2 linked regions of the Macaca fascicularis genome follow. The protein of the gene in region 1 purifies or fractionates together with the protein of each later gene. This does not show direct contact. Links are inferred from orthologs where the notes say so. Each region holds a gene or a part of one and is shown on either strand. Other genes may lie near its edges.

What was found. The genes of interacting proteins can lie anywhere in the genome.
Region 2: the proteins of RPS6KA1 (region 1) and CSNK2B purify together in Homo sapiens (affinity purification with mass spectrometry; 4 studies listed by BioGRID and IntAct, with this or other methods). This does not show direct contact. The link is inferred for Macaca fascicularis from reciprocal best matches to the Homo sapiens genes RPS6KA1 and CSNK2B.

The regions. Positions count from the first base shown.
Region 1 is NC_088375.1:208,567,199-208,573,070, reverse strand, and holds the start of RPS6KA1 (ribosomal protein S6 kinase alpha-1), read left to right. Parts: upstream 1-2,311; 5' UTR 2,312-2,356; coding exon 2,357-2,491; intron 2,492-3,320; coding exon 3,321-3,437; intron 3,438-3,643; coding exon 3,644-3,725; intron 3,726-5,872. UniProt on the Homo sapiens protein: Serine/threonine-protein kinase that acts downstream of ERK (MAPK1/ERK2 and MAPK3/ERK1) signaling and mediates mitogenic and stress-induced activation of the transcription factors CREB1, ETV1/ER81 and NR4A1/NUR77, regulates translation through RPS6 and EIF4B phosphorylation, and mediates cellular proliferation, survival, and differentiation by modulating mTOR signaling and repressing pro-apoptotic function of BAD and DAPK1.
Region 2 is NC_088378.1:140,052,945-140,058,657, forward strand, and holds CSNK2B (casein kinase II subunit beta), read right to left. Parts: upstream 3,977-5,713; 5' UTR 3,874-3,976; intron 3,291-3,873; 5' UTR 3,280-3,290; coding exon 3,208-3,279; intron 2,260-3,207; coding exon 2,157-2,259; intron 1,594-2,156; coding exon 1,478-1,593; intron 1,036-1,477; coding exon 960-1,035; intron 814-959; coding exon 624-813; intron 297-623; coding exon 206-296; coding exon of another isoform or gene 130-205; 3' UTR 75-129; downstream 1-74. Other genes in the region: GPANK1 (G patch domain and ankyrin repeat-containing protein 1), read left to right, coding at 5,653-5,713. UniProt on the Homo sapiens protein: Regulatory subunit of casein kinase II/CK2.

The sequences.
Region 1 (5,872 bases):
TGGCTGATTTACCTGTCTACCCTTTCCTGGCATTTGATGCCTGCTGACCCCAGGCCAGGCAGTAAGCAGGGAGGCACCTGGGTCCAAGCTAGCTCTGCCACTGTTTGCTTTGAGCCTCGGTGAGTCACTGTCTTCTGAGCCTCAGTTCCCTGTTCCTGGAATGAGGATACCAGTTTTTAGGATATGATCAGAGTCAAAGACATCAGATTGCACTCAGGAGATAGTCCTCTCAGCCACTATCTGGGCCCTCCTCAGGTCCTGGCATAGGAGGAAAATCCTAGGGAAATGGAAAACCTCAGAGGTGGGTCTGTAAGAAATACCAGAGTCCTCTCCTGAATGGTGACAGTTTGCAGATTGTATCCCCTCATCTCTTTTCCCACCCCAGGTACAGCAGCAAGAACCCACAGTTCCGCCCTTAACCCCTTCCTGGGGATCCCTGCCCTGCTGCCTGCCTGTGTATCTGCCAGGTGTCAGACCCATTGTCTGCCCTAGGTATTGTCAGTCTGCTTGGGGCTCGTTGCCTCTCCTGCTGTCTCTGTTTGCTGCCTTCCTGTGTCTGTGGTTGGGTTCCAATCTCTCTCGCCACTTGATAAGTGCCTGACTTCACCTGTTGGGCACGTGTCACATGTTAGGTGCCTGTTGTTCATGTCCCCTTCTGTCTCTGCCTGTTGGGTTTATGTCTTCATCTGTCTCTGCCTATTGGATACATGTCCCCTTCTGTCTCTGCCTATTGGATACCTGTCCCCTTCTGTCTCTGCCTGTTGGGTTTATGTCCCCTTCTGTCATTGCCTGTTGGGTTCGTGTCACCATCTGTCTCTGCCTGTTGGATACATGTCCCCCTCTGTCATTGCCTGTTGAGGTTTTTTTTTTTTTTTTCCCAAGGCAGTCTCGCTCTGTTGTCCAGGCTGGAGTGCACTGACGCGATCTTGGCTCACTGCAACCTCTGCCTCCCGGGTTCACGCCATTCTCCAGCCTCATCCTCCCAAGTAGCTGAGACTACAGGCGCCTGCCACCACGCCTAGCTAATTTTTGTATTTTTAGTAGAGACAGGGTTTCACCATGTAGGCCAGGATGATCTCGATCTCCTGACCTCGTGATCCACCTGCCTTGGCCTCCCAAAGTGCTGGGATTACAGGCGTGAGCCACCGTGCCCAGCCTGCCTGTTGGGTTTATGTCCCCTTCTGTCATTGCCTGTTGGGTTGGAATTCTCTTCTGTCCCTGCCTATTGGAGATGTGTTCCTTCTGCCTTTGCCTGTTGGGTTCATGTCCTCATCTGTCTTTACCTATTGGGTACATGTCCCCTTCTGTCTCTGCCTGTTGGGCTTGTGCCCCATCTGTCTCTGCCTGTTGGGTTTGTATCCTTATCTGCCTACACACATTGGGGATGAGTCTCTGTCCACCTCTGTCTGTTAGATATGAGTCCCCTCCTGCTTCCCCTTATTGGGTACACATCTCCATCTGTTTTCTATTGGATATGAATTCCTCCTGCCTCTGCCTGTTGGGTGCGTGTCCTTATCCATCCCTGCCTGTTGGGTATGTGTTCTCTCCTGCCTCTGCCTGTTGGGTGTGTGTCCTTATCCATCCCTGCCTGTTGGGTATGTGTTCTCTCCTGCTCCTGCCTGTTGGATGCCATTCTTCTTTTTTTTTTTTGAGACAGAGTCTCGCTCTGTTGCCCAGGCTGGAGTGCAGTGGCATGATCTCGGCTCACTGCAAGCTCCACCTCCCGAGTTCACACCATTCTCCTGCCTCAGCCTCCCGAGTAGCTGGGACTACAGGCGCCCGCCACCACACCCAGCTAATTTTTTGTATTTTTAGTAGAGACGGGGTTTCATTGTGTTAGCCAGGATGGTCTCGATCTCCTGACCTCATGATCTGCCTGCCTCGGCCTCCCAGAGTGCTAGGATTACAGACATGATGGATGCCATTCTCATCTGTTTCCACCTGTTGGGTGCCTGCTTCTGCCTGTTGAGTGTCTCTCTTCATCTGCCTCCACATATGAGGCACCTGTCTTTGCCTGTTGGTTACCTGTTTGCTGTTGGGTACCTCTCTGCTGTTGGGTACCTGTCTGCTCAGCAGCTGCACTGGCAGAGGGCTTTCCCTTTGCAGACCCACAGGGAGGATGGGGGAATGGCCAGAGGGCAGCCCTCAGGCACTGAGGAGTGGGGGAGAGAGAGGAAGGGAACGTGGTGAGGGTGTAGGCCTGGTGCTGGGAAACCACAGGCCCTGAGTGATTGGCTCCCTTGGGCCGGGCCCAGCCCCCGCCCTCACCCTGCACATCCGCCTTGGTCCCGGCCACCACCGCGGCAGCCCCGGACTCTGCCTGCTCCTGCCATGGTGCCGTGGCCCTGCTGGGCGGATGGAGCAGGATCCCAAGCCGCCCCGTCTGCGGCTCTGGGCCCTGCTCCCCTGGCTGCCCAGGAAGCAGCGGCCCAGGATCAGCCAGACCTCTCTGCCTGTCCCTGGCCCTGGCTCTGGCCCCCAGCGGGACTCGGTGAGTGTACCCAGATGTCTGGTCCTGGCCTGGCTGTGTCCCTCGCAGCAGGTGCCTGGGAAGCCAGCTTAGCGTAATCTGGCTTTGGGCTGTCCTGGCCCAGGCCTGGCCCTGCGGGGTGACTGGACCCTGCCCAGACTTGCTTCCTGGGTAAGTGAGGAGGTACTTCAGGGCTTCAAGGCAATGGCAGCAGATTAGAGGGAGGGTAGAGTCCTGGAATGGCTAGGACGTGGCAAGGGGCTTCTAGTAGGTTTGTATGAAGGAAGTTTGGGAAGATGAGCCATGCAGTCTCTGGCCTTAATTCTGACCTGCCCCAGGCTAGCACTTACCAAGTTGATGGGGGAGTTTGGGTGACTCTTGGGTCTTTGTGCACGTCAGCCCTGTCCTACTGACCAGAGGGATCCCCTCATCCCATCCTGACCAGGAACGAAGGCCCAGCTCTACCTCCCCATATGAGAACAAACCTACTTCCTATTGTGGCAACCCTAAAGCAGCAGGGGGAGGGAAGCCCCACAGGCAGACCTGGGGCAGGTCTCTGGGTCTCAACCGGAGCCTGAGGTTGACTCAGCCTGGCCATGCCTGGGCATCCCTTTGGGCCTAATCAGGCCAGAGCATCGGGAGCAATAGGAGTGGTGCCTCTTCTGTTTGACCTCCCCAGCCTTTGAGGCCCTTTTGAAATCAATGACCTTGGAGGCTGGCCCTTCAGGGAAGTCGTCTATTGGGCCTTTAGGTCTCATCTGCTGAGGTCTGGTGGGAATGGCCTTGGGCAGGGGAACTCCTGCTGCCCGGATGGGGCCCACCATGCCCACCAGCTCTGTCCCTCCATCAGGATGAGGGCGTCCTCAAGGAGATCTCCATCACGCACCACGTCAAGGCTGGCTCTGAGAAGGCTGATCCATCCCATTTCGAGCTCCTCAAGGTTCTGGGCCAGGGATCGTTTGGCAAAGTGAGTCATGAGCCCGTGGCTGTGAAGGCAACCCTCGTCATGTTAGAGGTGGGGGTCAATGGTCACCTAGGGGCCCAAAGGATCAGAGGTCACCTTGGTACCCAGGGAGAACAAAAAGACCAGCTTGGGGCTCAGAGAAGATGGAGGTCAGCCTGGGCGCAGACCTCTCCCATCTTCTGCCCTTGCTTCCCTCTCTGCCTTCTCAGGTCTTCCTGGTACGGAAAGTCACCCGGCCTGACAGTGGGCACCTGTATGCTATGAAGGTGCTGAAGAAGGCGACGCTGAAAGGTGAGTAGGGACACCTCCCTGTGCAGAACCCAGGCTGGGCTGAGGGAGGCAGCCCAGACTTCAGGGGCCTTGGGTCTGGCAAGGGAGACGGCTCTGTCTTCAGGAGCACCTAGTTCAAAGGTGGAGAAACAGGCCTATTTCTCAGCCATCTCTCCCCACCCAGTCCCCCTCCCCCTAAGCCAAGTGCCAATGACTGGCTGTGAAGGTCTGGAAGGTGGTAACAGCGTAAATGTAATATGTTTGTCAGAGGGCAGGGCCCTCAGCTACTTAGCTGGTTAAGCAGAGGCGTTCTGACTGTTGATGCTAGCAGAGTCTGAGGGAGACCTCTGTGGCCCCTAACTCAGGGGCCTGAGAGAAGGGTGTGAGTGAAGAGGCAGGGAGCCCAGGGAGGCAGCTGGGCCAGGCGAGAGAGGGTGAGTCCAGGCAGGGCCACAGAGCTGGATGGCAGAGAGGTTCAGAAGGGAACCCTGGGCCAAGATTAGAGTTCTGGGGACTTACAAAGGATATGAGATGGTTGGTAGTGGGTTTTGGGTTGAACACTGACCCCGTGGCCTGGGAGCCCGTGTGACCACTGACCTGGCGGAGTTGCAGCCAGGTGCCCTTCCTTGACCAAGTCTCCCTTTAAATAAAAGTCACGGCCGGGCGCGGGGGCTCACACCTGTAATCCCAGCACTGTGGGAGGCCAAGGCGGGTGGATCATTTGAGGTCAGGAGTTCAAGACCTGGCCAACATGTTGATACCCTGTCTCTACTAAAAGTACAAAGAAATGAGCTGGGTGTGGTGGTGCGCCCCTGTAATCCCAGTCAGAGCCAAGTCCTAGCTGGGGAGGTCGTGGGGGCAGTAGGAGGCGTCAGCCTTAAGGATGTTATGGGTGGCTTTGGTCTCCTAAGGCCAGCCTGGTGGGGGTGGGAGTCATCCCCCAGGAGGTATGGTGGCAGCTTCAGAGGGAGGAGAAAGTTGAAAAGCCTGGGTTCCTGCTGTGAAGGGCTTGCAGGCTGGGCCGGAGAGGCTAAGCATACCCGACAGTGCGGTGCAGCCGGTGCTGAGACTGGTGTGCGTGGATATCCGACGGGCTGGGGAGCTGGGAGTGGTGGTGCAGCCTTGCAGAGGGTGGGACCAGAGGCCAAGGGGACACCTAAGGAGCGGTAAGCCTTGAAGGACGAGTGGATTTCTCCAGACCAAAAATGGTCGAGGAAGAGACCCTGGGAAGGAGAAACTGTTTGCCTGACCTAAAGTACAGAGGTGGTTTGAAAATGTAAGGTAGGCTGGGCGCCATGGCTCATACCTGTAATCCTAGCACTTTGGAAGGCTGAGGCGAGTGGATCACTTGAGGTCAGGAGTTCGAGACCAGTCTGGCCAACATGGGAAAACCCCATCTCTACTAAAATACAAAAATTAGCTGGGTTTGCTGGTTTGCACCTGTAGTCCCAGCTACTCAGGAGGTTGAGGCACAAGAATCGCTTGAACCCAGGAGGTGGAGGTTGCAGCGAGTAAAGATCGCGGCACCATACTCCAGCCTAGGCGATGAGAGCAAAACTCCATCTCAAAAAAAAAAAACAAAGGAAAAAGAAAATGTAAGGTGACCAAAATAGTTAACTCTGGTGTGGTCCCTGTCGTGTCTAGTGAGGAAAATACAAAAATTAAAATAGAGGAAGGGGCCCACTGATGTGAAAAGTGCTCTGAAGGGAACCAGCTCTGTAGCCCTGTGTGCTGACACAGAAGGCGTGTTGGAAGGCAGCTGCAGCTTCTACTTGTAGCAAGGGCCGAGGATTGTGTCCCGAACAAGACTCTGGAAAGACGTGCAGGAGGAGCACATTGGCCAGATCTCCTAAGATAAGCAACTGTGAGCATCAATTCTAGAATGGCAGTGACGATTGAATAGAATTCATACTAGATGGATGGACTAGTGAAGGCTTTGGGACTATGAGGCTGGAGAGGAAACTGCCGATCCAGTACATGGACCAAAAAAGCCTTTAGTTTTGCACTGTGTGTATTGCTCAGACATTTTGTCTGGTCTTAGTAAGCATTCCTTAGCCTTCCACCTCTCCTTTTAATAGAAGTCAAGGCCGGGTGTGGTGGCTCATGTCTGCAATCCCAGCACTTTGGGAGGTCAAGGTGGGTGGATCATTTGAGGTCAGGAGTTCAAG
Region 2 (5,713 bases), on another chromosome or scaffold:
GCCATGAGGGCCCCTGGAGTCCAACACACCATCACCTTCCCTTCCCCAACCGCAAGCACCAGCAGACTAGCTCATGGCCTTTTCTTCCACTTTATTTCATATTCCCACCACAATAATGACTCCTTTAATTTAAACTAAAAACCATACAGGGTTCCTGAAAGGGTGGCAAAAAGGAAAGGAAGTGCAGGACAGGTGGGGTAGGGAATCAGCGAATCGTCTTGACTGGGCTCTTGAAGTTGCTGGCGGCTTGGAGCTGCAGCTGGTAGGCCATCGGATGAATCTTGAAACCGTAGAGCCTGGACCAGGGCAGAGGTCAGAGAGGCAGTAGCATGAGCCCCATCCAGACCCTGCTAGTCACCTGCATTCCCACCTCCCCACCTGAACTCCTCCATGGACCTGCTCAGAGCTTAAGCCTAGTGGTTCCCAACTTCTCAGCTCAAGAACATTCTATGATAAGGTAACTGAAGCACAGACAATCAAATAACTTTCCCACAGTCACTCCGCAGGGAGATGCCGATTCTGGGAGAAGCAGGCCTCAAGAAAGGGCCATGCCCCATCCTCCCCTCTCTCTGGGGGATCTTAGGCCTTTCCTTTGACCCTTAATGACTCTCCCTGCTCCCTACCTGGGCACAAACTGGTTGGCGGGTCTCTTGGGCCGGTACTCGGGATGCACCATGAAGAGCATGTGAGGGAAACCAGTGCCAAAGTAGGCGCCATCCGTGTGATGGTGTCTCGATGACTTGGGTGTGTACACATCCATGCACTTGGGGCAGTAGAGCTTCACCATGGCTTCACCTGGGATGTCTGAAAGGCCTGGGAGACAGCCAGACTCAGCAGGCCAGGTATCTCCCTGTTCCTACTTAACCTCCCCTCAGGACTCAGGCCCCAAGATGCTGAGCCCTAACTCCTTCCCGTAAGACTGCCACAAGGTGCCTTCCTTTCCCTTCTTCAACACTCACCGATGGGAAGCATTGGCTGGTTCTCACAGTACACACGAGGACAGTAACCAAAGTCTCCCTGCTGGTACTTTTCCAACTGAAGTGAATAAAATGGAAGGGGTTGGCAGGTAGGTGTGAAGAGAAGAGGCAACTCCCTTCTCAGCTCAACCCATATCACTCTGTCCCCCACTCCTCCCACCTCTGTCCAGAGGCCCCTTCTCTGGCCCAGATGGGCTCTCAAACTCCTATGTTGCCTTTCTTCCAGTTAGGCAGGCTACAAACCATCAGAGCCATTTGTTGTTTGTTCCCTGAGGAAGAGGCAGTCTATCACAACTCTCTGTTCAAGGACTGTCTCCCTCCCTGAAAATTATCCCTTCAGGATGACCCCCAATCAGAATTCAATTCCCAGGCCCAAGCCTGGGGTTCTTCTCCTCTTCTCAGCCAGTTTCCTTAAACAAGGCTTAAACATGACTTCTTGCTGCAGGAACCTGTGTCCCTTACTGCTCAGAAGGAGGCAATTAGGAGCAGAGAGGCCTCACCATCTGGGCAATGCCACGGTTGGTAAGGATGTAGCGGGCGTGGATCAATCCATAAAGCATCTCGGCAGCCTGCTCAATCAGGTCACTCTGGTTGGGGTTGTCTTCCAGTTCTTCATCTGAAACACAGCCCGGCCAAATGCAACCACTTGTTTTTCAGCTTTCCTAGGTGCCCTGCCCATATCCAGGGGGTGCGGGCTATTCAGTTCGCCTGGCACCTACTTTTGGGCCTTACCCCATCCAACATCTGGGCATGTGACCCAGAAACCTGGGCTTCTGACCCTTGCGCCAACCCAAGACAGCTCTGTCTTCTCTTCACACCTCTTTAGCCTCCGCTCCCCACTCTCCCTCCCAGCTCCCTCCCCGATACATAACTGCAACAATGTCAATGCAAAAGATGAAACTCTAGACTGGAAGGTGCAAAGCAGGAGAAATAGCAAACCAGACCCATGAGGAAACATATTTTGGAAAACATCTGAATTGTGGATTTAGAAAACATGGGAACAAGTGATATACGTCACAAAACTAGACACAGTCAGGTGGAGGATCAAAATAAAGCATGAATTTGGGGTTAAAGAAATCAGAGAACCAAAGGAAATTTCAAAATTCAAGTAAGTGAATATAGATTTGAAGAGAAAAAAAGTGCATGCACACACACAAAACAACCCTGAGGGTGCCTCACCAGGCTCCAGGTCCAAGATCATGTCTAGAGCTTGTCGATAGTGAGGAACCTGCTCATTGAGTCCAGTAAGATTAAATTTGTCCTGGATGTAGTCTTCATCCACCTGTTGGGACATGGAAGCCAAGAGGGAACCCATATCAAAATCCCCATCTTTGACCTGGGCAAAATGCTCTAACTGATGCCTTATCATCAACACAACTGCATCTGTTCCGCTTGTTTCTCACTCCCAACTCAGCAGAAGTACTTGCGTCTCTCCCTAGTTCACCTATACTCCCTCCCATAAAGCTTTGGCTTTTCTTTTCTAAGGATAAGCAGGTACAGCAATCTTTTTCTTAGACATTCTTTTCAAGATCTCTGTCCCTACTCCTGTACTCCATCTCTAGGAACCAGTTTTGTCCTCTCAGCTGGCTGAGGAGGATGGAAGCTGAACGGCATGGTTTCTGAACAAAACATTTCAATACGTAGCATTTCAATTTTCCTAACAGCCAGCTGAGACAGGTACTAGCAGTACAACTTTAGTAATAAAAGATACAGGCTGGGCGCAATGGCTTATGCCTGTAATCCCAGCACTTTGGGAGGCTGAGGCGGGCAGATCACCTGAGGTCTGGAGTTTGAGACCAGCCTGGCCAACATGGTGAAACCCTGTCTCTACTAAAAATCCAAAAATTAGCCGGGCGTGGTGGCGGGTACTTGTAATCCCAGCTACTTGGGTGGCTGGAGCAGGAGAATCGCTTGAACCTGGGGGGCAGAGGTCGCAGTGAGCCGAGATCGCACCACTACACTCCAGCCTGGGCGACACAGTGAGACCCAGTCTCAAAAAAAAGATAAAGAAAAAGACACAAATTGCCTGCTGGAGGGTGGCAGAGTCGAAACTTGGGCCCCAGTTTTGCCACTTTAGCACAGGTTCGTCGGGGGTTATTGAGGGGACTCTTCGTTGATGGGAAGTTTTCAAGTAGTATGTAAGAGAACAGTGTAGAAGTGGAATACGTGAAGGAACATCTGGTGGGAAGATATGTGAAGCCAGCAAGTAGGGAGGTCGAAGAGAACTCACTTCACAGAAGAATTCATTGCCACGGAGCCCACAGAACCAGGAAATCCAGGACACCTCCTCTGAGCTGCTCATCTTCACGTCAGCTGAAAAAAAGAGTGTCAGTAAAGCTCAAGTTCTCCTTCCCTGCCTCGGGTATCCTCCCTCCTCCCACATTAGAACCACCCTTTCTTAAAGGATCCCAAACTCTGAAGCACTCCTCTCCAACTCCTCCAATTTACATCTCAGTTCCCTTTTCTTTGACGTTAAACATTCTTTGGGGTCCCACCACTTGAAAGAAGCCAACAGATACTTTGACCCACCAGCCCGACCCACGTCCCTGGAGCTCCCGAAAGCCAGGGCCCTCTCTTCTCTGTGTCAACTCCGGCAGGGACCTCGACTCAGGCTCCGTACCAATGCAAGTCTCTGCACGACCCCGGCGCCTTTCCCAAGGATTTCCAAGTTTATCACTCTCAAGCAAGAATCGGGCGCCTCCTTTTCTCAAGGGTTGGGGGCGACTGTCAGGTCCCTTTCACCGGATTCCACACATCCCCCCTCCGCTCCTCAAGCCACCTCTCCCTCCTTGCCGGACCTGGTTGCTTCCTCCCCCCGCCCCCATATCAAAGTGCGGAGACCCATGTGCGGCTCCCAGCGACAAGCGACTAGGAGCAGCGAAGACCTCAGACTCACCAGCTGGACGGGGACCAGGACTGGGGTGGGGTAGGGAAGTTGCTACTTCGAAGGAACGGCGGCGACCGCTACAGCGCAGGCCGCGGACCCGACCGCGGCAGGCGAAGTGGGGTGGGGGGAGTGGAAATTGGGGAGGGTGGGGAAGAGGGCAACACGCAAGCGCCAAGGGTCAGGTGCCGCGGTGGATGCCGGGACGCGGAGTCCCCGGTAGAGAGAGAAACCGGCTAAGTGAGGGAAAGCGAACTACCAATCCCAGGATGACCCGCGCACGACCTGGCTGTCACGAAGCCCCGGAGGAGGACGCTTGCGGGCGGGGCGCAACGAGAAGCCACCGGAAGCGGAAACCAGGTATGGCGTTCGGGGCCTGGGAGCCTGGGCAATACAGTTGTGTGCTCACTGGGCGAAGAAGCTGACTTAGGGCGGGGAAAGGAGGGAGCCAGGCTGGACCCCTCCTCGCAGCTCTCCTCACAGTTGCCCTCTAGTCCCGACGCGGTGCTGCTTCCCTGGGGACTGGCCTATCCTTGGCCAATGCGCTGGGTCCTTATTGCCTGTTGGGCCCCTAGTGCGAGTCAGTCCCGCCAGAGACCCTTGACGGGCCTTCTGTTTTACTCCGGGCTCCGGCCTCATGAGGCGAGAGGTGCGGCTTGGCTCCGTGCGTAGGGACTTGGGTTGGGAGGGCTGGGCTGGGCTGGGCTGGGCTGGGCTGGGCTGGGCTGGGCTGGGCTGGGTGAGAACCAGAACGGCCCAGTGCGCTAACCTGAGGTGGTGCCAGCCATTCTGCTCGTCCCCTTGCACTTCTCCATTTCCCCTTAGTCTCTAAGTGTGACCTTCGAACCCTGGTCAGAGTAATGGTGAGGGGCAGGCGTGACGTTATTTCATTACACGGCTTCTCGGCATTCCACAGGTTTCCCTCCGCCTCCTGAGGGCCTTTCCTAACCCAGAGAGTGGATTCCTAGCTCCAGAAAATGGGCTTGGAGCGGGGGCCACGTAGAGGAAGGCGAAGGGCATTGTGGGGGCGTTATGTAAAAGTAGGACCCCAACCGACAGATCCTAGCGCTCGCGCCACCTGGGCGCGCGGAGCTTTGCTCGTTTACTATTGGAAAAGTTCCAGCGCGGGAAACTGAACCGGGAGCTTTGCGCACGCCTGAGCCATCAAGTAATGTGGGTGGTGGTTTTTGTTGTTGTTGTCGCCACGCATGCGTCTCCGTGCCGTGTGGCTATTTGATTGTGTCAACTCTGCTGATCAGAATAGCGCCATTTTGCGTTACGGAAGCTACACGGCAACACGTATAGGAGCCTCTCCCCGAGATCTTCTAGGGAGTGACCCGTCTATTTTTGTTTGGGAAGAGGAAACTCCGAAATGGGATCACGGAAGACTTAAAGGGCCAGGTTTGATTTTTTTTTTTCCTACTGGTATGTCTGTTTTACGGGGTGAGAAAGTGATTTCAGAAAGAGGCTGGTATTTATTGTTGGTAAGGATGGGGGTGGGGGCCGGACGCAGGACCTCTGGACGACTGTCTCATGGAGTTTGATTAATCTTTACTAAGGAGCAAAGTCGGTATTGTAGGGTTTCGTGTTTTTACGCATATACTCTCTCCCTTAGACCCTGCAGAGTCTTAAGTTGTGGGGTCACTTTAGCGGCAGGAAAGTGTTTTTGACTACTTTTTCTCATCCCAGCAGGTCCCTGAGGCTCTGGTTGCTACAGAGTCACCAGGAGCTTGGCTTGCTTGTCGCATCCTTCCCTTGCCTGGTATCATTTTCTCAGTTCTCCCAAAAGCCATGTCCCAGCCCTTCCTCATCACCTTCACCCCAGCCACTGACCCCAGCGACCTCTGGAAGG